Cricetulus griseus: one gene and its partners. The protein of the gene in region 5 purifies or fractionates together with the protein of the main gene of each other region. This does not show direct contact. Links are inferred from orthologs where the notes say so. Each region holds a gene or a part of one and is shown on either strand. Other genes may lie near its edges. The genes, in order: Polr2h, Uxt, DNA-directed RNA polymerase III subunit RPC10, Polr1f, protein POLR1D, Polr3e and Polr3c.

Evidence for each region.
Region 1: the proteins of protein POLR1D (region 5) and Polr2h purify together in Homo sapiens (affinity purification with mass spectrometry; 4 studies listed by BioGRID and IntAct, with this or other methods). This does not show direct contact. The link is inferred for Cricetulus griseus from reciprocal best matches to the Homo sapiens genes POLR1D and POLR2H.
Region 2: the proteins of protein POLR1D (region 5) and Uxt purify together in Homo sapiens (affinity purification with mass spectrometry; 3 studies listed by BioGRID and IntAct, with this or other methods). This does not show direct contact. The link is inferred for Cricetulus griseus from reciprocal best matches to the Homo sapiens genes POLR1D and UXT.
Region 3: the proteins of protein POLR1D (region 5) and DNA-directed RNA polymerase III subunit RPC10 purify together in Homo sapiens (affinity purification with mass spectrometry; 3 studies listed by BioGRID and IntAct, with this or other methods). This does not show direct contact. The link is inferred for Cricetulus griseus from reciprocal best matches to the Homo sapiens genes POLR1D and POLR3K.
Region 4: the proteins of protein POLR1D (region 5) and Polr1f purify together in Homo sapiens (affinity purification with mass spectrometry; 3 studies listed by BioGRID and IntAct, counting the BioPlex papers as one, with this or other methods). This does not show direct contact. The link is inferred for Cricetulus griseus from reciprocal best matches to the Homo sapiens genes POLR1D and POLR1F.
Region 6: the proteins of protein POLR1D (region 5) and Polr3e purify together in Homo sapiens (affinity purification with mass spectrometry; 3 studies listed by BioGRID and IntAct, with this or other methods). This does not show direct contact. The link is inferred for Cricetulus griseus from reciprocal best matches to the Homo sapiens genes POLR1D and POLR3E.
Region 7: the proteins of protein POLR1D (region 5) and Polr3c purify together in Homo sapiens (affinity purification with mass spectrometry; 3 studies listed by BioGRID and IntAct, with this or other methods). This does not show direct contact. The link is inferred for Cricetulus griseus from reciprocal best matches to the Homo sapiens genes POLR1D and POLR3C.

What each region holds. Positions count from the first base shown.
Region 1 is NC_048597.1:67,932,050-67,936,528, reverse strand, and holds the start of Polr2h (DNA-directed RNA polymerases I, II, and III subunit RPABC3), read left to right. Parts: upstream 1-1,572; 5' UTR 1,573-1,914; coding exon 1,915-1,987; intron 1,988-2,964; coding exon 2,965-3,048; intron 3,049-3,293; coding exon 3,294-3,387; intron 3,388-4,422; coding exon 4,423-4,479. UniProt on the Homo sapiens protein: DNA-dependent RNA polymerase catalyzes the transcription of DNA into RNA using the four ribonucleoside triphosphates as substrates.
Region 2 is NC_048604.1:125,813,140-125,817,524, forward strand, and holds the start of Uxt (protein UXT), read right to left. Parts: upstream 2,952-4,385; 5' UTR 2,858-2,951; exon of another isoform or gene 2,681-2,857; 5' UTR 2,671-2,680; coding exon 2,573-2,670; intron 801-2,572; coding exon 719-800; intron 581-718; coding exon 513-580; intron 245-512; coding exon 137-244; intron 1-136. UniProt on the Homo sapiens protein: Involved in gene transcription regulation. Acts in concert with the corepressor URI1 to regulate androgen receptor AR-mediated transcription. Together with URI1, associates with chromatin to the NKX3-1 promoter region.
Region 3 is NC_048599.1:60,442-64,905, forward strand, and holds the start of DNA-directed RNA polymerase III subunit RPC10, read right to left. Parts: upstream 2,847-4,464; 5' UTR 2,767-2,846; coding exon 2,656-2,766; intron 1,229-2,655; coding exon 1,141-1,228; intron 1-1,140. UniProt on the Homo sapiens protein: Core component of RNA polymerase III (Pol III) which synthesizes small non-coding RNAs using the four ribonucleoside triphosphates as substrates. Can mediate Pol I proofreading of the nascent RNA transcript.
Region 4 is NW_023277425.1:46,331-50,590, reverse strand, and holds the start of Polr1f (DNA-directed RNA polymerase I subunit RPA43), read left to right. Parts: upstream 1-1,382; 5' UTR 1,383-1,417; coding exon 1,418-1,671; intron 1,672-4,260. UniProt on the Homo sapiens protein: Component of RNA polymerase I (Pol I), a DNA-dependent RNA polymerase which synthesizes ribosomal RNA precursors using the four ribonucleoside triphosphates as substrates.
Region 5 is NC_048597.1:82,963,484-82,966,584, reverse strand, and holds the end of protein POLR1D, read right to left. Parts: intron 1,328-3,101; coding exon 1,069-1,327; 3' UTR 637-1,068; downstream 1-636.
Region 6 is NC_048596.1:79,721,300-79,725,065, forward strand, and holds part of Polr3e (DNA-directed RNA polymerase III subunit RPC5), read right to left. Parts: intron 3,730-3,766; coding exon 3,622-3,729; intron 3,329-3,621; coding exon 3,279-3,328; intron 2,394-3,278; coding exon 2,274-2,393; intron 1,404-2,273; coding exon 1,318-1,403; intron 1,014-1,317; coding exon 969-1,013; intron 873-968; coding exon 781-872; intron 1-780. UniProt on the Homo sapiens protein: DNA-dependent RNA polymerase catalyzes the transcription of DNA into RNA using the four ribonucleoside triphosphates as substrates.
Region 7 is NW_023276806.1:59,778,362-59,782,127, reverse strand, and holds part of Polr3c (DNA-directed RNA polymerase III subunit RPC3), read right to left. Parts: intron 1,511-3,766; coding exon 1,406-1,510; intron 1,281-1,405; coding exon 1,188-1,280; intron 1-1,187. UniProt on the Homo sapiens protein: DNA-dependent RNA polymerase catalyzes the transcription of DNA into RNA using the four ribonucleoside triphosphates as substrates.

The DNA of each region.
Region 1 (4,479 bases), about 15 Mb from region 5:
TCGGGCTCTGGCCTTGACTCAGCTCCCGGCCCGCTGAGCCCGCGCCCGCACCCGTCCCGTCCCCTCAGCCCCGGCGGCCGAGTGCAGAGTGCGACGGTCCCCGGGCGCGCGCCGCAGGCTCAGCCTCTCGCTAGCGTCCCCTCCTTGGCGGGCGGGCCGAGGGCGGTGCCCTGCTTGCTGCTCCGCCCTGGCCCATCTGCAGGGGCGTCCGGTCGGGCTGGGGTCTGCATTGGAGCCGCCTCCTGGCCTCCGGAGAAGCGGCAGGGGGCGCTTGCAACGCGATCTTGCACCCCTTCTCTGGGGAGGCCGGGGGCTGACCCGGCCCCGAGAGGGTGCGGGGCCGGACGGGGGCGGGTCCGCTGGCACGTGGAGGGGACGGGCTCTCGGGCGGCTGCAGCGTTGTGCGGGAGGGGCTGAGGATGTAGTGACTCCAGGGCTGGGGCAGGGGGCTGCTGACGAGCTATCTCGGGCTCTCCAGGCCAGACTCGACTGGGGCAGCCTCTGCTTCGCGTTTGCTGGCGGCTCAGACGGGTCTGGGAGGATTCCTGAGAGCCCGCTCCCTTATCGCCTCCCTTCCTCCTTTCTTCTTTTCCTCCGGGTTCCCCCGGGAAGGTGCACCTGGAACTGCTAGGCCTGGAGATCGGGGCGGAGGTGGAGGTGGGAGGGGACGGGAAGGGGTGAGGCCCGAGGGAAGGGAGCTATTGGTGCGGGGGAGGCTGCTCCTGGGAGGCGGGCGTGGGGGAGCAGAGGTCGCTCCTCCCAGGCATCGCTTAAAGGGGGAACTTGAGTAGCTGCTGACGCCTCGAGGAAGCGGCCCAGTGAAGCTCTACGTTGTCTTTCGGGATCCTTGGAAGGATAAGAACAGTGTGGCGTTGGCACAAAGAGGATGGACAGCGTTAGGTTGGTGCCACTGGAGAGGACGGTGCCCAGAAATCCGTGTAGAAAGAACAGCATCAGGATGAAGACTCATTCAGCAAACAGAGGGTGGTGCTCAAGGGGAGCGTACGGTGCCCAGTACGGGGGCTGCGATGAAAGGAGATAGCACCTGGAAAGAGCGCGCTGCGAGCTGTCGTTTCCCAGGGAAAGGCCAGTGTCGGGTGGAAGCGCACTGGATCAGTGTCCAGAAGAGGGTAGTGTAGTGGGGTGACAGGCAGTACCAAGTTCAATTGGCAGTGTTCTAGGGGATCAGAGTTAGTGCCAAGCAGGGCCAAGGGAAGACCGGCGTGGCGAGGAGGTGAAGCCCCAGGCGAGGGCACAATGCGGGCTTTCCTTTCCCTGACAGTGACATCACGGCAAATTCCCAAACCGGACGGACCCGGCTCGGGTGACGTCTAGCTGGTCAGAGCCAGCTCGGACCAGCGTGGGGAACCTTGGTGGCCGTCCGAGGGGCTGGGCACTGCGTCCCGCTGGGCGGGCGCTCTGCGGGTGGAGTTCGGCTTCACCCTCCTGCAGCACGGACTGTGCCCTCGGCGGGCACGCGGACCGCAGGGAAGGGCTAGGGCCGGGCTCCCTCTGGGCCAAGGATCAAGGTTCCTGGCTGGGTCCGGTCCCGGAGCCTTCCAAGCATCGGGATCCGGGGTCTGAAGAGGGCGCCCTAGAGCCGGGCGCATCGCGGTACCCGCCGGGGGTGGGACTTAGTCTGTCCCCGCCTTGGGCGGAGTCACCGCGCTTTGAGACTCGCCCACAAGGTCCGAGCCACTCCGAGGTGGCCTTTCCCGGCGGAAGTGAAGGAGCCCCGAGGGGAGGCAGCGGAAGTGGCTGCGTTGCTGAAGCCTGTGCGCATGCGCCCTGCGGCTGGTTGCCGCTTTTTGGGGCGGTACTCTGCCCTGTCTTCTTTTCTCCACGTGAGGGGGTGCGCGAATTCCCAGTGGTGGCCGCGCGCTCCGCACCTCTGCAGTTCTCGTGCCCCTTACGATGGCGGGCATCCTGTTCGAGGATATTTTTGATGTGAAAGACATTGACCCAGAAGGCAAGAAATTTGACCGAGGTAAGGTGTGTAGGGGAGGTGAGGAAGAGGCCAAACATGCCCACCCACCCCAAGTGGCCCGTCCCACCCTCTCGGTACCTCCCTCAGGAAACAGTGTTTTTCATAATGAGAAACTTGGGACAGCTTTTCCTATGATGTTTGCGGTGTCTGGTGCCTCGGTGGCCCTTGGCTTTGGGGTTGGGAAAGCCCTGGACACCTTTCTGACTCCTTATTCAGTATTACGTGCTGTATGTACCGTGCGCCTCTCTCGCACACTTAAGTATTGTAGTAAGAAGTGATGGTGCCCGATCTATTTTGTTACTTAAGGCCGTGCAGCGAGTTACCTCCCTGTCTTCCTAACCCATAGTTTTGTATTGCCCCAAGAATTGTTAGCCCTTTGCCGAGTCCTCTATAAATTTCATGCAGCTGACTGCTTGGTGTATTCATTTCCCAGTAATCCGGAAGTTGTTTCTTCTCAGTGTCACTTTACCTGGAGACAGACCCCCCCCCCCCCAATACAGATTCTCTTTGTAGCTCTGGCTGTCTTGGAACTTGCTTTGTAGACCAGACTGGCCTTGAACTCAGAGATCCACCTGCCTCTGCCTCCCAAGTGCTGGGATTAAAGGCGTGCCCCCCCCATTTTTAAAGACAGGTGTCAGTTCTCAATACACCCTGCCTATTCCCTCCGCAGAGTGCCTACTAGGAAGTGGGGATCTCTGGACTAATGACTATCTTGTTCAGAGTTGAGTTTAGTCTAAATCATCCAGGTGTGCTTAGAGCCTAGAGACGGGTTGCTGCCAGAGAAGTTCTGCTTCTTTCTTGGGATCCTGACACTTGCTGAGGTGTTTACTCCCTTTCTTCTCTGAATCTGATTTGGATTGCACTCTGTGTCTGTGTCCCAGAGCAAGGCTAATGGCTGTGGACTAGTTGAAAGATTTGTTCTCCTGCATTCGACCCCGACTCTGTTGCCTGTAATTATGTCTGTCGCTCTTTCCCAGTATCTCGGCTGCACTGTGAGAGTGAATCTTTCAAGATGGACCTCATCTTAGACGTGAACATTCAGATTTACCCAGTGGACTTGGGTAAGTGTCCAACACAGGAGCTAGCAAGTGAATTTTTTTGTTTGTTTGTTTGTTTTTCGAGACAGGTTTTCTCTATGGCTTTGGAGGCTGTCCTGGAACTAGCTCTTGTAGAACAGGCTGGTCTCGAACTCACAGAGATCCGCTTGCCTCTGCCTCCTGAGTACTGGGATTAAAAGCATGTGCTGCCAACGACTGGCTTTAGCAAGTGATTTTTATCTTTGGTTTCCGCTTGATGCTCTTTTCAGGTGACAAGTTCCGATTGGTCATAGCTAGTACTTTGTATGAAGATGGTACCTTGGATGATGGTGAATACAACCCCACAGATGACAGGCCTTCCAGGTGAGGCGGTGGTAAAGGAGGGACTAAATAGATAAGTAGTACATAGAATGGTCTTTATTTTACTGCTAGAAAAAGACATTACTGCACTTAGAATTCACACAACCAGAACTGGGTGTGATGGTTTGTGTCTGTAATTCCAGAACTCGGGAGATGAGGCAGGAGGATGAGGAGTTCAAGAACACCATTGGCTGCACATCAAATCTGAGACCAACCTGGGCTGGAGACCCTGTCTCTAAAAAATTTGAAAAAAATTTCAAACAACTGGCTTGATTACTTAGTGAGAGCAGTGAGTGGAAGCTTGTGAACTGCAGTTGTTTATTTATTTGAGACAGGGTCTCACTTTGTAGTCCTGGTTGGCCTGGACTATGTAGACCAAGCTGGTCTCAAACTCACAGATGACATCCACCTCCTCTGCCTCCTCAGTGTTGGAATTAAAGGTATGTACCACCACACCCTGCAAATGTAGCTTTTTTAAGGCCTAGAAAATGATTACATAGTAACCTAGATTTTGGTGTGACAGAAAGACTGTGGAGTATTGGGTCTGGTGGTACACACACTTAATCCCAGCATTTAGGAGGCAGAGGCAGGAGACCTCTGTGAGTTTGAGGCTAGCCTGGTCTACATAGCCAGTTAGGACAGCCATGACTATATACTGAACTTTTACTTCTCAGCTCCACTACTTCCATCTTCCATTTCCTTATCAATAAAGTACAGACAGTCATTTCTAGTTCACTGAATTGATGTGAAAGCCAAATAAGGTTGCGCTTCCATGGCATTTGTTGTTATCAGTTTCTATTTTAATTATTTCTATCTTTTTGGTTTTTCGAGACAAGGTTTCTTTGTGTGGCCGTGACTATCCTGGAACTTACTCTGTAGACTGTCAGGCTGGCCGAAAACTCACAGGCCTCTGTCTCTGCCTCTGCCTCTGATTCCTGAGTGCTGGGATTGTGCCACCATGCCTGGCTCAGTTTCCATTTTTAAATGTCTCTTACACTATTGATTGCTGTGAAAAGTAACTTTGCCTATTGTTTGTAGGGCGGACCAGTTTGAGTATGTCATGTATGGGAAAGTATATAGGATTGAGGGGGATGA
Region 2 (4,385 bases), on a different chromosome or scaffold from region 5:
TGTATGTCTGTCTGTGTGGTTTGTGATAGGGATAGAACCCAGGACTTGACACATGCTAGAGAAATGCTGTACCATTGTCCTGCACCCTGAGGCAATGTAGGTGGTTTTAGACACTATTCTCATGGAATGAACTCACTCTGTGAGGAGAGAACTCTTTCGGTCAATGAACTTGAGAGCTTCAGCCAGTGTCAACTCCAGGAAAAAACCATATCCCAAGGCCACATAGATGCGGGAAGTATCTGGGCTGAGGAAAGAAGTCAGAGGAAGTGGAGGAAGTCTTTATTACCATTTAGCACATTGTATAGTTGAAGGTGTTTCCTATTCCCTCCAGTTCCCTAAAGTTAAGGCTCTGTAAGGGCCGGTATTTCATGTTCATTCACTTCACACCCACAGCATGTAGCTTACATCCTAGTGCAATATAAAAGTGACCAGAGTCTGGTATATAGAACATATTAAGAAATACTTGTTGCATGAAAGAAGGAAGAAACTCGGAGGGGAGGGAATACACTCACACCATTGTGTCAACGAAGAAGTTACAGCCCAAATCCACCTGCATATATAACTCCGAGTGCTTAGTTTCCTGTAGGGCCAGGAGAAAAGAAGTAGGTGTCAGTGGCCAATTTTTAAGGCAGGAAAAAGGTTTTGTTTTGGGGTTTCTCTTCCCATCTTCCTTCTTTGTACACATATACAAACTGATACCCAATTTAAAAGCCTTTACCTGGAGTCGCTCAATTACATTTCTCAGTTGAAGGTATACAGACAGCTGCTCATATACCTTGTCTCGATGATCCAGCACCTTTCTGATACGTGGAAATAGAAGAGTGATCATTAGGCAGCCCTATTCCTCTTGAGATATCTCACATCATGGCCTAAAAGGCATTTTAAGCCAATTATGGTAGTTCACGAGTGTAATCCCAGTAATTGAAAGACTGAGGCAGGAAGATTATGAGTTCAAGACCAGCCTGGGTTACATAGTGAGATCCTGTGTTACACACACACACACACACACACACACACACACACACACACACACACACACACACACACACACGGAGACATGAGAGCGAGCGAGCGCATAGTATAGACAGAGAAAGACACACCAAGTATTTCAATAAATACAAGTCAGACTGTATTTCATCCTGAGCTCTAACTCTTACTAGCAATGTGACTTTGGCATTAGGAAACCTATTTGGGACTTAGTTTCACAACATATAAAATAGAGATGACAGTATTACCTCATAGGAACCATTAGACTCAAGTGTTTACTATAAAATGCCAGCCAAATGGTAAACACTGTATCCTTTCTATCCATCACTATTACAAATACTGCATTGTACTCAGTGCCTTATGCCAATTAAAATGCTCCATCTTCACCCTACACATACCTTCCATGCTCACACTGCTCTAGTTCCAAACTTTCTGTTCACATTAATAATGACAGCAATACTAATCATCTAATTATTGAGTTTTTAGTATGTTTCATCCACCGGAGCTAAATTCCTTTTCAAAACTATCCAGGTTATTTGTTTTTTATTTTCTGAGACAAGAACTGAGTTTCCCAGGCTACTTGTGAGTACACAAGACAGTTCTTTCCTCTCAGCCTTAATACAACTGTAGTATAGTTGGGTTTATGTAAAGTTTTAAAAAGTATTCTTACTTAATGTATTTATTTTGTGTACATGTATGGGTGCCGTGGTACACCCATGTGAGTCATAGGACAGCTTTTGGGAGTTTTTTTGTTTTCACTATGTGGATCCCAGAGAGCTAGCTCAGGACATGGAAGCAAGGCAATCCATCTTGCTGGCTCCATTGTCTTCTTTTTTTGAGACACAGTCTCAGAGCCTAGGCTGTACTCATCTTTGAAATATAGCTGAGGATGATCTTGAGCTCTGGATCGTCCTGATTCACCCATCCCAAGTACAGGGATTACAAGCCTGTGTCACAACACTGGGCTTTATTTTATCAAAACCATGTTCTACTGTTAAGGCTGGCTTGAACATCCTGGCTAAAGAAATGAATTTTTCCACCTCTCCACTAGATAGGACTACTGACATGCACCACAGAGCCTGAGCCTGGCTTCATTCTAATTTTTTCCCCCTTTTAGAGACAGTCAAGTTTATATTCCAGGCTGGTCTCCAACTTCGAAGATCCTCTTGCTTCTGCCTCCTTCGTGCTGGAATTACAGTCCTGTGTTATCAGTCTAGGCTTTGGGTTACATTCTTTACCTGGGTAGACACATTTAAAACTCAAAACCACCACATTAAGAAGGCTCCATAAACTTTCCCATTCCACAGATGAGCAAAGTTTATAAAGCACAGAGAGGAGAGGTGATGTACAACTTTTTCATAAGTAATGGCTAAATGGCCCAGTCAGAAATGTCGTGGGTTTTTATGACTATTTTAATCCGACGAACGACGCCAGAGGCTCCACTACAAGGGCCAAGTTCCAACCAAATCGCAGCCCGGACGTCAACCCCTCTTCCCGGCCAATCCGAAAGTTTTCCCGGGATTCTGTCCCACCCACCACGTGGAATTTCTCAAATGTCACGCCTAGAATCTGCGTTGTCACTCACTGCAAGTCTCGCTGCAGTACGTCACTGATAAAGGCCTCGTACCGCAGCACTTTCTCTCCTACAGTATCCAAGGCCCGCCGTTTCGGGGGTGTCGCCATGATAGGCTTCCTGGGGAGTGAGGAGGGAGAAAAACCACGTTGAGTGCTCCTGTTTAACTTCACAAAGTTCTCTCCAACCTCTTAACGTTGGGTATGACTTCTTTCGGCTCATGCTACGGGGTTCCTCCTTCTGCCCAACCCGACTCTAACACGCAGTCACTCACCGGTACCCAAGCGCCGTGCTTACCTTAGGGCCACCTAAGGTTAGAATGAACCGCGGTTTCCGGGTGGCGCGGGTGGATGACGTGTTTCCAGCATGGAGGGGCGGTCCAGAATGAGAGGAGACCGCCTGAAAGTGGAGCGCTGAGGCGGGATCTTAAGGAAACCCTGGAGAATACTAGGAAGTCAGAGGGCGGGCTGTCTGCTAGCCGGCTAGTGGTTGACAGCCGCGGGTAGCTGTTTCGGGTGAAGTCTAATGAGCTTTGCCGGGTTCTGAGGGAGGTTGGACGCACAGGAAGGTAGGGAGAGGGAGTAAATCGTTTACAGCTTGTTTGAATCGCGCGCGCATGTTTGAGCGAGCGCGGCAGCGGTACTGGAGTTAAATGCAGTTGTGAGCTCCCATGATGTGGGTGGTAGTAACGGAGTTCACATCCCCTGCAAGAACCTTTTGTGCTCTTAAATGCCGAACCATTTCTGTAGCCTTCTCGCCGGTCTTAATTGTTTTTTTTTTCTTATTTTATCTTTTTTGTCTGCATGCGTGTGCACTATGTACGTGCAGTTCCCGTGGAGGCTAAAAGAGGGCGTCGGATCCCCTGGAGCTGGAGCTACTGAATATTTGTGAGCATTGGGAATCGAACCTGGGGCGTCTACAAGAATAGCCAGTGCTGTTAACCATAGATCCATCTATGTAGTCCCCACCTTTTTTTTTTTCTTTTAAAATCATTTCTATTCTTTGAGAATTTCATAACATGTATGCAATGTATTTTTGCCATATCCACTCCCTACTCCCTCCTTCCAACTCCACCCAGACCCCTCCTACCTCATTTCCCTTCCACCTTCAAGTCCTCTTTAGCAAAACAAACAAACAAACAAACCTCACTGAGTTCACATAAGCATTTGATAATTTAAAAAGCACAAGATTGCCTATAGACTAGTAAGGATTATGGTACTAATCTATAAAGAGGGCAGTATATCCTGTGGCAATTGGTAAATTTGAATATTGCTTATTTTATAAACACATACGCCGGGCGTTGGTGGTGCACGCCTTAAATCCCAGCACTTGGGAGGCAGAGGCAGGCGGATCTCTGTGAGTTCGAGGCCAGCCTGGTCTCCAGAGCCAGTGCCAGGATAGGCTCCAAAGCTACACAGAGAAACCCTGTCTCGAAAAACCAAAACCAAACCAAACCAAACCAAACCAAACCAAAACAAAAAACCCCAAAACATACACGTATATTTCACACACATGGTTTTGGGTTTCATCCTCCGTAAAAGGAATGGGCAGGAGCACATAAAAAATATTTAAACAGACACAAATTTTAAGAAGTTCTTGGATGACTTCTGCTTGGTTGCTTGCATTCCATGATCCAGACTTAGGCAGAGACTGGCAAAATGCTGTGCTTAATCACCCCACATCATAGTTATATGGTCCATCATTGGAGTCCTCTACTGAAGATGGGCTAACTTGTAGTTAAGAGTGAATAATTCTCTCTATTTTTATTTAAATGTTTAGCAAGTGAAGGGCTGAGCCTGGAGGATAACCTAGATGCTAGACTCCC
Region 3 (4,464 bases), on a different chromosome or scaffold from region 5:
AAAAAAAGAAACTGAGGCAAGAGGCTTGCTACAAGGCTGGCCTGAGCTACACAGCAAGATTCTATCTCAAAAATAAGCAAAAGCCTTGAAAGTGGAAAATGAGTAGAGGCTTTTGTTTTATTTTGAGATAGGGGATGGAATGAGGAGATGGGGGGGGGAATGAAGGACAGGATGGAGAGGGAATTGGGATTGGTATGTAAAATAAGATTTTTTTATTGTTTTTAATTTAATAAACATTTTTAAAAATAAAAAAAGACTAGGGCTAATCATTTTTACAATATTGGTATTTGAAAATACATACAACAGAATTCTCTTGAGAAGCCTGTACCCACTAGAGCATGGACAACTGTCCTTTTACACCTCTCGCCTCCTCTCAACAACCATCAATATTTAAGTTTAAATCAACATTGAAACTTTTTTGTAATAAACCCCAAATTTGTTTCAAGAAGAGAATATGTACCAGATTTTTACTTATACTTGCCCATATCTGTCCTGAGAATCTAAATGAAACAACAGAGCAGGTATCAATATGGTGATTTTCCTTTCAGTATATTTAATCCTTGAAAGAAATCTGCTTTAAAAAAATTTAATATGGCCAGGTGGTGGTGCACATGCCTTTAAACCTATCACATGGCAGGCAGGCAAATGGATCTCTGAGTTCGAGGCCAGCATGGTCTACAGAGAGAGTTCCAGGACACCCAGGGCTACACAGAGAAACCCTGTCTCAAAACACAAAATCAAACAAACAAAAAGGTCTTAATGCCTTGCTTAGAGTTTAAAGAATGACTATATTGTGACTACAACATATCAAAATATTTCCTGTATTGGCAAACACAAGCTATTTGTCATTATTGTTTATATTTTCTTAAATTCTTTTATAACTACTGGTTGAGGGGGTGGGAGTTGGTAAACAACTTTTCATGAATCAGCTGTCTCCTTATACTATCTGGGCTCCAAGTATCAAACTCAGGTTAACAGGTTTGGAAACAAGTGCTTTTACCTGCTGAGCCATCTTACTGGTCCTAACAATATACAGGGTTGCATTATAATAAATAACAATAAATTTATTATTATTAAGTATAATAATAAGTAATAATAAATAGGGTTGAGTCACTGGCTCTGTAATGGGAAAATTCTCACCTGCAGTAGAGTCCACATTCTCCCAGGCAGCTGCTCCACCAAGCACATCATCCACTTCTTTCAGCTTTGGATACTTTCGGTTTGTTACCTAACAAAAACAAGTCATCAGATTTTAAGAAATCATATAGTTTTAAAAGCAGGCCACCAAACTATAACTTTCCTCCAGCATTTCCTCTACTCAGTAAATGGATACAAAATTTATCTTCTTCAAAGAGCGACAAGAGCCATTAAAATGTAGGGGTTTTGTGACTGAGATATTCCCAAAACAGCACAGTTTCAATGTCAGAGACCCCTAGAAACTGGAGGAAACAGCAGACAGTGCAGGAAGACAGCTGAGTTAAACCATGCTCTTCTCTCATACCCCTAATAACCCAACATGAAAGACAGACAAAAGCCTAATAGCACCATTTATCTGGGTATCCCAGCATTCCCAGGGACACATTTCGTTGCTTTAGTCATCCTTCAATTTTCAAAAATTATGTCACCATTCAATCTTATCACATATCCAGACTCCAAACTCCTACCATACAGCTCTTAAGTGCAAACATTAAAAATGAGGTATCACCAAGGCCTGATGATACACATCTGAAATCACAGAACTCAGGACACTGAGTTAAGGAGGAACAAGAATGGAAAGGTAGACAATACAAAGGGCTGTAAAAGCAGCTTCTCTGGGTTCCAACACAAGCACCACACACACAAAGCAGCAACAATGACATATATTAGAAGACGATGAATCCTGGGAAAAGAAAAAGGAATGAGAATAAACTGGAAGAGCTGGGTTTGGTTTCTTCGTTTACTTAATTTTCATATACATATGCTATGCAGCCCAGGTGAGCCTTGAACTTAATCTCCTGCCACAGCCTCTCCACGTGATGGAATTATAGGCATGTACCAACAGCCAAAAGGGAGAGGGAGAGGGAGAGAGATAAAGGAAAAGGAAGAGAGAAACAGACAGACATACCCACACCGAGGGAGGGAGGGAGGGAGGAGAGAGAGAGAGAGAGAGAGAGAGAGAGAGAGAGAGAGAGAGAGAGAGAGAGAGAGAGAGAGCGCCAAATGGCTCGTTGGGAAAGAAAACTCGGGCGAAAGGAACGTGAAGGAGCTAACAGTACTGCGTGCACTTTTGGAGGTAAGATCCTCCAGAATAGCGACAGGATCTGGGAGCAAGAAGAGCCACAAAAAGAACATTAAGATTTGAGATCAGAGAAGGTGATAAGCGTATTGGAGCCTGGCGTGCGGAGGACAGCTGTAGGTTTTAAAGGCGTGGTTCAGCCTAGAGGTAAAACGGAAATCTCGCAACCTTTTGGGTGTCACAAAACCGGCAGCAGAGAGCCAGAGGCAGAAATCTCTGAAGTGACCAGAAGAGTGGCTTCGATTTGGCCGGAGCGATGCCACTGGATTACCAACTACTGAACTTGAGGTACTTCCACAGGTGAGCAAAAAAAAAAACTACCGCCCGCAGGAAGTCTGAGCGCACCGACAGTGGAGGAGGCGCTCGCCTCTGGGACTCACCTTGCGTGTGATATTATGCACGTAGGGGCAAGTGTTGCAGGCGAAACGATGGCAACGCTGTCCCTCCTCCACAATTAGTCCGTTTCCACAGCTCGGACAGAAAAGCAACATTGCTGCAGATCCAACAAGTAAGCTCTTACTGTCTAAAGCTTCCGCGGCCGCAGACGCCCAATAGAAGCGGCCACTGGCACGTACCCAGAAGGCACTGCGGCAGGCAGCTCTCACATGCCATTGGTCAACGCAGATAGTCCTTCCCACCCTCCAATAGTGCGCTGTCTGCCTTCCCAGCTTTCCTGTAATGCCTGCGCGTGCGCACGGATCTCCCTGACGCAAGCACAGGCTTAAATGGCCCGAGAGATGGGGCTGGCAGCTGACACGCCTGACCTACCCGGGAATAAGGTTCGGAGGGAGGTACAGGTGATGAGAAGACAGTGCCGCACTCCGAGCCATGGACGTGTTCAGGAAGGTCTTGTCACAGTGGCGCAGGACCGGCTGCTTCGCATCTTCTGAGCCGGGACTGACAGGCAGAGACTAACCTAATGTCCCAGGGACTTTAATTCAGCCCCTAGTGTTGATACTACCTCTCTGCTGCTGTCTGCCTAACGTATGAATACCTGTCTATCTGTACTTACCATCTTTCCAATCTGACCATTTCTTCACCTGGTCCCAGTTCTGCCATTTCACTTATTTCACTTATGCCATTTCACTAGATTCAATTCTACAGATCAACTCTGACCTACAATACCAGCAGTTCCTCTCCACAGACCTCCATCTGGTTCTTTTGTCTCATTCCTATAGACTCCTTTACGTTTCCCAGTTCTGCCTTCTCAGACCTCTTTTAAATGTCTTACCTCCTTAATCCTCTGCAAGAATTCTATAACCTACACAGGGAGGGGTTGGGGTGACTCCTGTGGGTTTTTTGTTTTTGTTTTGTTTTATTAACTTTAACAAGTTAGTTATCTAGAAGAGGAATCCCAATTGGGAAAATGTCTCTATCAGACTTATAAGTAGGTAACTCAATGGGGCATTTTCTTGAATGCAAATTGATAGAAGTGGACGCAGCCCGTTGTGGGCGGTGCCACCACTAAGCCGAAGGTCATGCGTGAAATAGGAAAGCACTACGAAGGGGCTAAATGGTTCAGCTTAAGAGCACTTGGCCTTCTCCTGTAATTGGTGACTGCGCTAATTGTCACCAGAGAGCATTCATCCAGTAACTGATGGAAGCAGATGCAGAGATCCACAGTCAGGGAGGAGGAATTGTACGAGTAAGAGGGAGTCAAGATCGTAACTTGGGGAACCCAGAAACAGCTGACCTGAGATAGTGGGAGCTAGGGAGCCTGCATCAGACCGATTTAGGCCCACTGCATGTGGGTGACAGTTGTTTAGCTTGCCCTGTTTGTGAAGCCCCTAGTAGTGGGATCAGGACCTGTCCCTGGCGCATGAGCTGGCTTTTTGGAACCTGTTCCCGATGCTGGGATGCCTCACCCAGCCTTGATGCAGGGAGAGAAGCTTGGTCCTGCCTCAACTTAATATATCATGCTTTGTTGACGCCCATGGGAAGTTCGCGGCTTTCTGAACCAAGGAGTGGTGGATGGGAGGTGGGAGGAGCGGGAAGAGAGGAAGGAGGGGAACTGTGATTGGTATGCATTGGCTTCAGTAAACAATGGACTGTGATCTGTAAGCCAAACAAACCTTCTTCCCCAAGTTGCTTTTGTTCATAGAAACCTAACCAAGATATATTTACTGTGTGGTTTATAACGTGTGATTTGAGAATTAACAATAAGTTCTTAAAAATAAGAAAAAACTTCG
Region 4 (4,260 bases), on a different chromosome or scaffold from region 5:
CTATGAGAGTGAGAAGGGAAGAAAAGGAAGGATGCAGAGGTCATGAGGAAAAAGAAATTTTGAGTCAGGTGTAGATTAGAAGAAAGGAGATATGATAGGTAGGATTTTAGTTGGGGGTGGTAGCGGAGGAAGGGAGGGAGAAGGGAACTGGGATCCTCATGTAATTCAATCTTGTTTGTAATTCAAATATATAAAAAAGAAAAAGAACAAAAAATAAAAAAGGGGGATGGAGAGATGGCTCAGAGCTTTAGAGCACTGACTGCTCTTCCAGAGGACTTGAGTTCAATTCCCAGCAACCACATGGTGGTTCACAACCATCTGTAATGAGATCTGATGCCCTATCCTTGTGTGCAAGCAGAACACTGTATACATAGTAAATAAATATTTAGAAAAAAATTAAATTAAAAAATAAAATAAAAAAAGGTAGCGTTGTGGATCCTAGTCTAAATGGCTGTATCTACAGTACAGTTCCACACCCAGTGCTTAGGTGTCTTTGCTGAAGAAGGTAGGGAGGTTGTAGAAGCCACGGGAACAGTTTACTTTGGACAGTGCTCTCCAAATGGAGCCTTGCTTCTTCTTTGAGTCTTCCTGCTAATTTGATTCATATTTAGGTGTACCACAAAGGCCCAAGGCCGATGGGGGGCTTAGCCACGTGAAAAGCATGGCAAGACACCCTCACAGTGATTTAGCAGAAAGAAGAGGGAAGCCAGATTGGAGAGATATGGTGGTTTTGGTTCAGATGTTGCCTTTTGAGATTTGTGGGCTTCTGTGTAGGACTGGGTTCAACAAAGGAAACACACTCCACTAATGCTTCATTCCTTAACTGAAAAACAGCTTCAGAGCATAAGCAATTATCAGGCAGCATTGCAACTGGAAAAGGGCATCCCGATTAAGGCTCAGAAAACCTTAACCAGGCGTGCATGCTTTTTATCGCAGCTCTCCTGAAGCAGAGACTGGGAGATCTCTTAAGAGATCTGAATCAGCCTCTGAGTTTCAAGCCCGTCAGAGCTACAGGGAGAGACACTATCTAAAAACAAAAAAGCCAAAACACACAGCAATAGTAATTTATTAGACCTTGGCCCAGCATTGAAAGCGACTGAAGAGACTGAAAAAAAAAAATCAGGCTATATTGGGCCTCTGCCTTTTTTAGTTCCTAGTATCCAGATCGCTAAAATCAAACTCCTCCCGGTAACAGCGCACACTTCCCAGTGAGAAATGCTCTACCTCTGCGGCCGCTTGTCTGGATTTGGGAACGAGCAGCTGCCCTCTGCTGGTCACACACGTCTAATGCAGCCTCCGGAGATTAAAAAAGTCCCCCCGCCAGGGCCGGTCGCTGGTTGATGATGTCATCGGGCGTCGGAGGCGGGGCGCGGACGCTGGCGTCAGCCGCGCGCCCCGGAAGCACCCAGCGAGCCGCATGGCTGCGGGCTGCGTGGAGTCTCCGCGGCCCAGGGCGGGCTCGGAGCGGCCGGCGGCGGGTCCGGCCGGGGTCGTGCCCTGCCTGGAGCTGCCCAGCTATGCCGCGGCGTGCGCGCTGGTGAGCGGCCGCTACTCGTGCCTGGCGGCCGGCCCGCACCGCAGGCACATCGCCCTGTCGCCGCGCTACCTGAGCCGGAAGCGCACGGGCATCCGCGAGCAGCTGGACGCCGAGCTCCTGCGCTACTCGGAGAGGTGAGGTCCCCGCGCTGCCGCCCTCCGGCGCCCCGCCGCGCCCTGCGCCCCTGGCGGGCCCCGGGATCCCCGCGCTGCGGACGGGCGGCTGCTGCTCGGCCTTCCGAGACGAGGATCCCGGGTCGCCGTCCGCGCCGGGGCCCAGCTCCTTCCTGACAGCAGCGGGAGCGGCTGCGCCCGCCGTGCACACAGCGCTCCCAGTGTGGCGACCCCGAGTGCCCGGGGTCCCGAGACCCAGCGGGCCGAGCTTGCGAAAGCTTCACTTAGCCCCTTCCGGGTGTGTTCTCGTTCGTAGTGCAGTTTTGCTGGCAGTATACCGGTTTCTTTCTGCGTCCTTGGAAGACAGCATATATAAACAAGTCGTTTCCTGGCAAAACCTAGGCGCGTTTGTTGTTTGCTTAGGCTCATCTCCCGAGGTTTTCTTTTCTAGGGCCCAATCGGGGAACGCATGGTGAATATCCCCCTTTGCCTAGTTCTGTTTGTAGGAACCGTTCTTTCGACACAAACAAAATAAAATTAGCATGTTTATATTAAGATGCTCAATTGCAACCTCAAAAACAAAATGTCTCAGAATTACATCTCGGCATTTCAAGCGGAAGTGGTAATGCCTTAGTACTTCATAACAAATTATTGTGGAGGGAGCGAGGTCCTAAGCCTGAGGCGTATGGATTCCCCGAGACATCATTGTCCTTCATTAATTCTGTGAAACTTCGGAGTTGCAGGGATTTCTGTGGTGACTGTTCTTAGGCAAATTATCTAAAGCTGTTACCACTTCTCGAGGATTTGGGCACAACCAACCCCATTACTGTTAAGCCCGCCTAGACTAAGCACTGGTACATCCCGTTATGTCTGTATGCCTTAGGCAGTTGGATAGAAAGACAAATAAAAGTAAAATCCTACTTTCAAAGAGCTTTGAGCTACTGTGGGGATATAAATGTAAGCTAGATCTAGAGAACTGTTAAAACTTGACAGACCTAAAATAAGTTGTATATAGAGAAGTGAAGTTAGATCTTGTAACTTTTGAGAACAACACAATAGGGTGGTAGTTAGATGGTGGCATTCCAACCAGCGAGTGGCATAGACAGATGGACCAGAGCATAGTAAAGTGTATCTGCATTGACGGTTAAGTCAGGTGAAACATTGGATGTCATTGATTCCTCAGTGGAGTTTCAAAGACTGGGAGGTGACTCAGAAGATGGTCATTATTGTTCTTTCCCTTCTGCCTTTGTCTGTCTGTCCCTCTGTCCGTCCCTCCCTCCCCTCCCCCCTTCCTGCCTGCCTGCCTGCCTGCCTGCCTGCCTGTCACTGTCTATTTTACTTTGTTTTTTTGTATTAGACCTATTTGTGTGCATGAGTGTTTTGCCTACTTGTCTGTATATGTACCATGTGCATGCCCGGAGCCCTCAGAAGTGGGTGGTTGTTAACCACCAAGTGGGTACTGGGAATGGAACCTGGGTTCTTTGCAGGAGCAGCAAGTGCTCTTAACTCCTGAGTCATCTGCTTGTGGTTCTTACAGTACAGTTGTTGTTTAATCCACTTATTAGCCTCCAACTGAGACATGGTACTCTCTTGAGAGGAGTAGTGCATGTCTGCAGTCCCTGGGATAGCTGCAATTTAAGAAACAATTTCGAATAGGTGATATTTTAAATAGAGAGAGGCAGTAGACAGAGATCAATTAGCAATTTTTGTGATTATCTAAGGAAAATGATTAGAAGTTTGAAAGATTTAAGAATATACAAGGTGATATTTTAAATAGAGAGAGGCAGTAGACAGAGATCAATTAGCAATTTTTGTGATTATCTAAGGAAAATGATTAGAAGTTTGAAAGATTTAAGAATATACAAGGTGATTATTAAATATGAAAATGCAGGCAATTATGTAGTATTGCCATTGGGGAAAAATTGAAGCAGTTATTATAAACTGATAATTTCTGTAACAGAATTGGATAATGCACCTGTGTAGAATAGAATATACTCTTAAGTTTATCTGGATACCTTCCTTTCTTGAAGGTATGCTTAATGAAACCTTTTTTCTCCCCCAGTACAGATTAAGTTTCAGTATTATTCCAGTATTAAGAGTGTTAATAAAGCAAGGGAGGGTAAAACCATTAAGAATGTTGGGAATTGTATTATAATATTAATTAACTATTTATCCTGTATAGTTTATGTTTTCAGACTTGTCCTCTAGCATTCATAGATCTGTATCCTTTTTAAATTGGGGGAGGGGGAGATTGAGACTCCTCCCGGACTCCCCTTTGCTTAAGTCATCTCACCAGCATTCCCTGCCTGACAGACTTGCCCTTCTTTTCTCAGTGGCAGGATTTTTAAGAAAGGTGTCCCATTTCAACTGTGGACTGTTCTCTTAGAGAAAGTGGTTTTCTAAAATCACATTATGACTTTTAAGTTGAATCTGTAAGAGGCCAGTTGTGGGGAAGTGAAATAAAACAAAGCCCATTCTTTTCCATTTGGCATCCTTGGGTTATTTAAAGATGTCAAATGCACTCTCTCCTAGTAGTTCCAAAGAAGTCTTAAATGCTCAAATCCTCCTTTCAATTGAACTAAGTAGGTTACGAATAGTACTAAATTTTTA
Region 5 (3,101 bases):
CTGGACCAAAATGTGTGTTTGTTTTGTTTTTTGTTTCTTGGGTTTTTTTTTTCCTTTCAAAATGAAAATGAGAGAATCCATAGCCATTTACTAGACAACTCACTAATATGGAAGGTGGGAACACCAGAGGGAGGGGGGTCCCCAAAATGTTTAAGACGAGGCAAATGCTGTGCTGAACAAGTACTCCACACATTTAAATATGACAGACACACATAACCTAGCTTTTTGGGCAGTAGTGAAATAGTTCATGTGGCACTAGCATGTGCTTGCTTTCATGTTGGTTCTCTAAGAGAGCACTGACTGACTGACTGACTGACTGGATGAGAACATGAATGGACTGGACTTCACATGCTATAGGAGTGCAAGAGTCTCGCTGTTTTTCCCTTGTAATTGGTCATGTATAGTCCTATTCTCCAGACTCAGCAGCCACCATCTCCAGACCATGTATATTTAAAAGTAAGTATAAGGAAGCAGTCTTGTCTAAGGGATGAGTTTGAGAATGGAACATCAAGTCCAAAGCTGTGTGAGCACTCCTCATCCTGGCCACTTAGAAAACACACAGCGTGGTGGAGTTTTATCAGGATGGCCACTAGTCAGACTGTGAGCTTAGCCTTTGACATCTAAAAGAGGAAAGCATAGCATTTCTAAGTATTTTATTTTGAGAAATTCTGGGAAATGACCACAAAAAGTGCAATACATCAAAAAAACTGGGACTAGTTTTTAACAACCTGAAAATTTCAAATTCTAGAACTGCTTGTTTTGAAATTAACTTGCAAACAAGACAGGATAAAGCAACATGGATGTGCATAGCAAAGCTAAGTCATCTTCCACGACACCTTCAGGACAAGGGCTTGTTTTAGTAAAAGTTTTTTTTTTTGTTTGTTTTTGTTTTGTTTTTTTTTGTTTTTTGTTTTGTTTTGCCTGTTAACAACAACAATGACACAACAACAGCCATCTTAAAACAAAGGACCCACTGGAAAGTCATTCTCAGGTGTCAGAGTCCTGTCACCTCCCTGTCCTCACTGCACCCAGTGGCAGGCACAGTACTGGGCTGGCCCTGCAGCTTGCTCATCGCCTGCTGGTTCGGTGGTCCCCCTTGTCCCTGGAGGCCCGCTTCCTTGGGGGTGAGCCTCGGGCTGAGTGCAGGCTGCGCTTAGACGAGCGGCTTCTGTGCTTCTTTGAGTTTGTCTCTTTCTGGTCTTGACTCTGGCCAGGTTCCTTGCTGCCCTCTTTTTGTTCATGTTCTTGCTCTTTATGGGAGGGCAGGGTGTTCTTAATTGTGTTAATTAGGAATCTTTTATTTGTGCCAGCAAGAGGACACTTCATCCTGTGGAGGAGAAGAGGGAAGAAGAAAACATAAACAAGAGAGTTAAAACATGAGGTGCTGGGGCAGGAGGACTGCCATGAGTCTGAGGCCAGCCTGGGGCATGTAACAATTCAGGATGGAACAGCAAGATCATAGAAAGACAGTACAATGGCCCTGTGTCTGAACATTACAGTGTTACCTCAGGAGACTCTGCAGACACCACCACAGCAGGGTCACCTGACACCACACCTTGGCTAAGGCAGAATTGGAGAAAAGTCGCCATAGTCTAAGTGACAAGCAACCAGGGAAGCAATCGCAGGTGGAAGTGCTTCATTGTACTTGTAGCTGGGGTATCTCCATCCAGCAGAAGATGAACAGAGGCACACAGCGCTAAGGATGGCTGGCCACTCAGGAACACAGGACAGTCACAGCATACACAATGTCAGGGCAAAGAAGCATCACTTGACTCTAAGTCCAGTAGGTCTGGGGAATGATGATTTACAGCAGACAAATGCCTTGGTCATGAAAACAAGGCTACATGAAGGGCAGCCCACTGTCCACTAGTCCACAGACAAATGCATGCCCACGCCAGTGACAGGGATACATCTGCTCCACATAAGCCCTTTATACTCTGGATGCTACAAGACTAGAAGGTCGCCTCTGGAAAGACTGAGGCAGAGGCAAGTGTGTCCCCTCCCCATGCAGAGAGGTGATATTTATCTTGATGCTATGGTGATTACAACTCATGTTGTTGTTTAATGCAGCCACAGCTACCATAATCACCCATGGCAGCTCAGTTTACAACTTAGCAATCAAGTGCCTCAGCATGTGGCCATCTGAGAAATGATACTCCTTAATTACCTTTCATTCAACACTCCCAAAGCTTACTGTGTCCCCAACACTGTACCAGAAAGTAATGTGAAACAGTGGGTATATGTGTGCATGGGGGAGAATGTATGTATATAAAAGTATTTATTCATTTTCAAAACCCGAGTCTCTCCCATCTATGGGACATCACATTAGGCCTATGTAGCAAAGACAAACCCGGCTATCAGTGTGCGTATCTCCGCTATGTGGGAGAAGCCTGAGGGGAACAGAGGCAGGAGGGACATACACAGGTTAGCTGAGACCAGCGGAAGGTCTCCTGTGCCGCAGCACACAGGCCTTTGTCCAGACCATGATCCCACAGGAGCACATGCAGATTCCACAGGAGCACATGCAGATCCCACAGGAGCACATGCAGAGCCAGTAAGCACCACAGAGCATTCCCAGGCAGGAAGAGAAGAGCAGTGACTTGGTACAGAAGCAGATAGCACCTGGTTTCAATCCCTCAGCAGAGTCTGCTGGGGGTGGGGATGAAGTCTCAGGAAACTTCTCTGGGCCCCATGATCTTGAGGTATAAAGTGAAGGTTTGGATTTCTGCAGTCCTGAAATACTGCAAAGGGCAGTATTTTTGTAACAAACACACACCCTCTCAACCTCCTCACTGAACTGGGATCACCTCCTGTTGTCTATCTACCAGTGCATGCCAGGCCGCCTGAAATACCTAAGGCAAGCAGCAAGTCCAAATGGATCTGGGAAACAACATGTCTGCAGAGACCGGGGGAGTGATTTGCTTTCCAGTAATCAGGCATTCCCAGCAGTGCTGGGGATGTAGCTGAGCAGTGCGTGAGAAGCCCTGGGTTCAACTCCCAGTGCTCAAAGTAAAAAGCTAATGGTGTAAAATACAGCCTCATATTGTAGGTGCTTCCCTCTCTGTCTCCAGACTGACACTTCAGGAAAGCACCAGCATTTA
Region 6 (3,766 bases), on a different chromosome or scaffold from region 5:
TTGTAGAGCATCAAGCTCCCAGCTCCCAAAACTCCTAGAAGTGTGAGCAATGACAACAGTGCCCAGCAATAATCACAGCTGATGGCGAACTGTATGCCAGGTTTGTGTTTCTCACAGAACAAATGTGAGGATCTACATGGGAAACCAAGGAGTACGGAGAAGAGTCTGTCATTACTAGGTCCAAAAAGAGTTGAAAACTCCCCCACATCAGCTGGTTGGAAAAGGTAGAGCCAGGATTTGAAACCAGACTACCTGTGAAGCCTCGGGGAGCCCAGGGTAAAGCCTGGGGAAGGTCCAGAATCCCCTACAGTAGCCCAGGAATGGCACAGTTCAGCAGAGAGCCCCACCCCCAACTAGGCCTAAGGCTTTATTTACACTGGCTTCTCAGAGAAGCCCAGAGCTTGGGACTCAGCCCCCAAAGGATCTGTGCCTCTGCCTAAGAGAAAAAGGAGCTAGTCCTTATTGTGTGGAGCCCAGTAAGGCACCAAGAGTGAAACAGTCCTACTTCACATCCCGTGTGAGACTGTGCTCAGCCCCATCAGGGTCCAGGAACCTCCAACTAGTTGGCCTGACCAAAGCTCAGGCCAACCTGCTCAGAATTCTGCGGCAGGCAGCTGGCAAAAGCTCAAAAGCCCACCTGAAGGGCCAGTCCCACCTGGGTGACCTGACACAGTGGTGCATTATGTGATCTGCCCAGACAAGAATGGAGCTGCCAAGCTGGGCAGACTCTAGGGAGCAGGGGCTGCTGGCTTTGGCCCTGATGCAGAGAACAGCACTCACCATTCTTCATCAGGACCTTAATCTGATCAGCCAGGGGCAATGTGCGCAGCTGGGCCATGGACAGGACATTGCTGGGAGCTACTGGCTTGTCTCTGTTAGAAGAAGGGGTGAGTGGTTAGAGAAGGCCAGTGGGAGGTAGTGGGAGATACTGGGGGTTGGGAGAGGTGGGGAAGACAGCCCTTACTCACTTCTCTTCCTCCGGGCTGGGTGGCATGAGCATCATGAGGTATTCACTGTAAGGGGTGGGGGTGGAGGGGTGTCAGAGGCTCTGTGAACTCTGCCTCACCCCTGCATGTGAGCACAGACCACAACCAGGTTGAAACTTGGGGAAGTGTAAGAGGCTCATTCTTCCCATCCCCAATAGTCCCCAGCTCCTAGACAACAGCCCTATAGAACATAAGGATCACCTATCCCAGGCCACTCTCCTGGGACCTCTCCAGGGACAGTGTCCCTCCTTTACCCTGCCCACACAGATAATGGGCCACAGTTCCAACAGAAACTTTCTCATAGCCTCTAGTGAGCACCAGCCAGTCCCACCTGGGTGATTTGACAAGCTCTGTGTTCTCCACCCCACTGGATCCCTGGCACAGCAGGTACTGGCGCTCATGCTCTGAACGGCTATCCTGTGGGGAAAAGGCAAAACAGATCATGACCCCACTCCAGCCACTCACTACCTGCTCCACGGCCAGCCACAGGCCCATATGCAGTGTCTTGAAGACAGCATACCCAAAGCCTCTGCAATGTGGTGTCTATAATGCAGAAACACCAGCAAGGACTAGAAGTGAGCTAGCATTCACTAAGCACTGCTATGTGCCAGGCTGGGTACCAATGCTTACTCACATAGTAACTAACTCTACAGGGCTCTTACTATTCCTGTTTCACAGACAAGAAAACTGAGACTCTGAAAGGGAAGGCAATTTCCCCAGGGCTACACAGGAAGAAGCTGTAGTGTATGTAAGTCTGACCCTGAATCTAAGGTTCTCCCCATACTAATCTCTTCCTGAAGGTTTCCACTGGTCCTTCCTGCAAAGATCAGGAAGCTGTATTCCAGGCACCTAGGAACCAATGTCCAATTACTTCCTTTACTCAGTGTACCATCAGGTACTAGGCTACAAAGCCCTGAAAACTGAATATTAAAACTTGTCCTGAATAGGTAGGCAATAACCTGAGAATATGTGACAGATAGAAGATTCTTTAGTGCGACCCCAGATGAAGTATCTATCTGCAATCAGCATTCATGGTGTGTACAAAACTAACCAAACGCCAGCCCAACTGCATGCACAGCTAGGGGGCTAAAAGCCCTAAACTGTAACAGAGGATCTCTGCTCCCACTCTGACACCTACTAAGTGGATGTGGACAAGTTGCCAACTGCTCACAGTACCTTCATGCTCTCTATGCTACAGCCAAGTAGCCCAAACACACTGTGAAGCGAAAGGTAAGACAAGCAGCTACCTGGCATCAGGCTCTTCCCCCAGGTCCTGCCCAGGCTCACCTTCACGCCATAATAGTGCAGGTGGACCCAAGGTTCCTCTGCATGCTTCTTCTGAAGGAACTCATAGGACTGCACACGGCGCTGGCGGGCCTGCTCTGACTCTGGTCGAGAGAATCGCACCTGTGGAGAGGGGAAAGGTCACATCCTCGGGTCTGTGGCCCCCATAGCTCTTGACAGACAGACAAGACAGACAGACAGACAGACAGACACACGCACACACTTCATAGCACTTGCATTCTACCTCCCTCTTCGCTTTTGAAATTCAGTCTGTGAGTTGCCATTGCAAGATGAGTGTTGTTTTCTTGCTTCTGCTGACCCTGGCCACGGCTTTCCAGCTGGGCCACAGGGGTAACAAAGCATACCTTTTCAGATGAGGGTGATTACCCAGGAAGTTTTAAAGGCTACCCAACAAGCTGCTGAGAACAGGACAAGGCTTAAGTTCTCTGCCACATCACTTCAGGAGAGCACAGCCCACCAAGATGTGCAAACTCTATAGCCATTTCCATGCCTGCTGCACCATTATTGAGCAGCATTTTTCTTTCATGCTCATTGTAAGCTACATATACATGAATAATGCATAAATAGGAGGAACTTCATAATCATGAATGGAAAGCTAATATTCTTCTAAATCTTTCAAAGTCAAGATTAGCATGCTAACCACTCTTCTGTACCCATCAAAAAGGCAGAATCATAAAGGTAATTAACATGGAACTTTGTGAGCCTGTGTGGCTTCATGGGGCTCCTAGGCTGTACCTCCCTGTTCCCAGGTAACACCTGCCACGCCCCAGGATCCCAGCTATTACACAGAACAAGGCTATGCTATTTACAACAGGAGTCAGGTTGGGCAGGGGGCAGGTTACTCCCTCCAGGCAGCAGATGAGGGGACTCAACAATACTATGTGACTGTTATTCTCAGGGATGGGGAAGTCCGTTCTGCTCAGATTCTGTAGCTCTTGCTGTCTTTTGCCATCCATGATGTTCCCTCCTACCAGGACCAGAGCTCACCGTGATCTGCTTAACGTCCTCTTCTGCCTCGTCCTGAGAAGAATCCCCTGCTGCAAAGCAAGCTATCAGTACAGCCTCTGCTGGGACTGCTCATTCCACTCCAACACCACCCTTCCCCAGGAAGGCCAAGGTTGGGGGAGGTCTGCGGCTTTTGGGCTGTGGTCTTAACTTTAACTCTTAGGCAATGTCTAACAATCTGTGGGGACATTTTTGGTTGCCCTAAATGTGGAGTTAGGGGCATTCAGTAGGTAGGAGTCTACAGTGCCAGTAATCATCCCACAATCTGACCAATTTCTTAGGCCCAACCTAGCCCACCCAGACCACAGACTGTCAGCTGGCTCACCCTCATTGGCTGCCTCTCTCTCACGGTGCTTGGCATCTGCCTTATCCAGGTAGGAGAAGCTGGGCCGAAGCTGTAGGATGCCATGTAAAGGTGTCAGGTGGAGTTCACCTGGCAAAGGAAGAAGGGCTTGAACCTGCCCCTGTAA
Region 7 (3,766 bases), on a different chromosome or scaffold from region 5:
CAAGGGTCAAATTTACAAGGGTCAAAAACTCAGAAAGCAGGGCCTTTAATCATAGCATAGGGAAACAGAGGCCAGCCTGGTCTACAGAGCAAGTTCCAGACCAGGCCCTGTCCAAACAAATCAACCAACTACAAAAACTTAGAAATAATATAAAGTATAATAACAAGACTTAAGTAAGTGTAATTATAAAAGTAATAGAAATGTAATGTCTAAAATGCTAAGGCTTTCATGAGAAAGGCCAGTCTAGCTTTGAACTCCTGAACTCAAGCAATCCTCAGCATCTTTCTAAACAGGTAAAATTCATGCATGTGCCAGCACACCTGGTACTTAGATTCTTAAAACAATTAGAAATATGTTGTACTTGACAGATATTTAACTATAATAATGGCTTAACACTTTTTTTGAGACAGGGTTTCTTTGTGTAGCCCTGGCTGTCCTAGGACTTGCTTTGTAGACCAGCTTGGCCTTGAACTCAGAGATTCACCTGCCTTTGCCTCCTGAGTGCTGGGATTAAAGGCATGTGCCACCATGCCTGTTTTTTTTTTTTTCCTAATTCCCTTATTCATATATATGTTTTGCCTGCATGAACGTATGACCAGTGTGTAAACAGCAACCAATGAAGTCAGAAGAGGGAGTAAGATCCCTTTGAACTGGAGTTACAGACTGTTGTGCCCTGTCTTGTGTGAGCTGAGAATTGAGCCTGGGTCCTCTGGAAGAGCAGTCAAGTGCTCTCAACCACTGAGCCATCTCTCCCACCCCCATTGCTTAACATTTTAAAAAGCTGGATCCTAAGTGGCCAAACAGTCTTGTGCTTACCATTTCCAAGAAATCTTTGCCCTATTCCAACAACAGAAACTCCTTTTCGCCTCCAAAGCACAGGTATCAACACAACCCTACAAGTTATTTCTAATAACTGTTATAATACCTATGTTTATCAGAGAGCTAGCACAAAAACAGCTAAACCAGGAGTGGTGGTGGTGCAGACCTCTAAGTGAAGCACCGGGGAGCAGAGGCAGGTGGGTCTCTGTGATTTCAGGGATAGTAGGGCAACCTAGGAAGTTCTAGGACAGTCAGGGTTACATTGAAAGACCAAAACAAAAACCCAAACACAGCACAACAAAACAAAAACAAACAAACAAAAAAAAAAAAAAAAAAAGAAAAGAAACAAAAAGGAAATTGAAGTGTACCTCATTGGAGGACAGGGGCTGGGTAAATGGGGCACCCGAGGGAGTGGTTATCTCACTCATCCGGAGCATTGTCCGCACAATCTCGCTACTTGTCTGGAAAGGAAACAAGAATTCAGAATTCACTGTTGATGCCTCTGAGCCGCTGGCCACAGCTAACAACCACCTGAATAATTGACCTTACTTCTTGCTCAACACTGGCTGAACCACTTAGATGTTACCTGGTCCATTCGGTTTGCAACTGCGCTCACAATTGCTTGGTCACGGAAGTGCTGGTGGAATCTGTCAAGGTTGACTTGCCAATAAATCCCATCGTCTGGAATGGGCTGAGGTGAGAAAAGGATTAGAGAGAAACATTGAAATACAGTGCAGGGGCTGCAGAGATGGCTCAGAGGTTAAGAACACTGACTGTTCTTCCAGAAGTCCTGAGTTCAATTCCCAGAAACCACATGGTTGCTACTTCAGATTGTGTTCTCTCACTGGGTCTTGGGATCCAGATCACATCTGTAACGTGATCTGGTGCCCTCTTCTGGCACCACTGTATACATGACAAATAAATAAATAAATCTTAAAAAAAAAAATTAAAAGAAACACAATGCAGTTTTCTAGTAAGCTTAGATGTTAAAGTTCCATTTGTTTTGAGATACTGTAGCAATTAAATGGGTTAAGAGAAAAGGAAATCAAGAGTGTGAACTAGTGAGTGTGTCCTGACACATTCACTTCAAGTCCCCTGAATTCAACATCTTCCTTCTCCCTGGTAATTCCTCTCCATTACCCTCAAATCTCTCACCTGACACCTCCCTTACTCTCTGCAGATGACTTTCTCCTTGATGTCACAGGAAGAATAGAAGCCAGAACTCATCCAACATTGTGAAAACCACCTCCTTTCCTTTTTCCCTCTCTCCCAGGAAAATGCTTGTCTTTTTACCTAAGGGCATTGGCCACAATGCTACTTCAGATTGTGTTCTCTTACTGGGTCTTGGGATCCAGATCACATTTGCTTCCTGTCCTTTAAACTTGCAGACTTTCCTTTTTTACTTTCTTCTCATCAGCTTTTACCCTGTTTGTCCCTTTCTAGAAGATTTCCCCTTCCTTCCTTCCTTCCTTCCTTCCTTCCTTCCTTCCTTCCTTCCTTCCTTCCTTCCTTCCTTCCTTCTTTCCTTCCTCCCCTGCTCAAGTCTCTTTCTAGAAGGATTTCCCTCCAACCCCTTTCCTCCCTCCTTTCCTTTTCTTCCTAGCTATACTTTCTGGCTTTACTCAACCTATCTTCACTTCTATATGAAATTTCAGTTGTTACTGGAATTCCAGTCCCACTATTGTTCACAAGGGCCTTCTTTTTTTTTTTTTTTTTTTTTTTTTTTTTTTCCCCCGAGACAGGGTTTCTCTGTGGCTTTGGAGGCTATCCTGGAACTAGCTCTAGTAGACCAGGCTGGTCTTGAACTCACAGAGATCCACCTACCTCTGCCTCCCGAGTGCTGGGATTAAAGGTGTGGGCCACCAATGCCCGGCTCTTATTTGACTTTTTTTGAAGTATGTGGCATAATTGGACATTTTCTCAACTTACCTCCTAAGTACAGGGACTAGAGCTTTGTGACACCATGCTACTTTTTTATTTTGAGACAGAGTCTTTCTACATAGCCCCGGCTATCTGGGAACTTACCTCCAACTCACAGAGGTCCACCTGCCTCTGTGCCTGCCTCTGTCTCCTGAGTGCTGGGATTAAAGGCATGTGCCACCACAGCACAGCATAACATTTCTTTCTTTAATTCATGTTATGTATGTGTGTCTGCCAAGGTGGCCAGAAGGTGTTGGCTTTCTTGGAGCTAGAATTATAGACACAGGGGCTAGGAGTCACACTCTGACCCTCTGGAAGAATAGGAGGTGCTCTTAACCGCTATCACATCTTTCTAGACCATAGGCATCTACTTTTGTTAACTTTTTGAGTCAGAGTCTCTCCCTGGGTTTGAGGGCCAGGATGGCTGGTAAGCCCCAGGGACTCTCCTGTGATTTTTGGGTCGGGCCATATCCATAGTCTGAAGATTAACATTTGCAGATCACATTTGTAGATTTTAATAGTCTTTAGCTTGGCTTTCTTCTTTTTTTTAGACAGGGTCTCATGTAGCTCTAGCTAGCAAGGAACTTACTATATAACTGAGGGGGACCATGAACTCCTATTGGCTTCAGTGCGTATGTGCACAGGCACGGGTACCAACACACGTGCACAGAACCCCCTCTACACACACAAAGAGACAACATGGTCTCTTAGACTAGGGATATAACAGGAATGGTAAGAAATAGCTAGATAGGAGGTAATTTTGGAAACTGGGCTAATAGGGATTAGTGAGATAGAAGAATTTCAAGGAATTTTGCCTAAACTCACGGCAGTAGGCATCTGTCACTAAGAAAAGGCAGCTTAGAAGGGGGCAGGTCTATGGGTATGAGAAATCAATTATTCTGTGTTGGCTATGCTACTTTCTTTTTCTGGAGTGTATGTGCTTAATTCTATGTCTATGTACGAGTGTATGATGTGCGTATGCATGTGTGGGAGTATGTGTGCTATAGCATGGGTGTGGAGGTCAGAG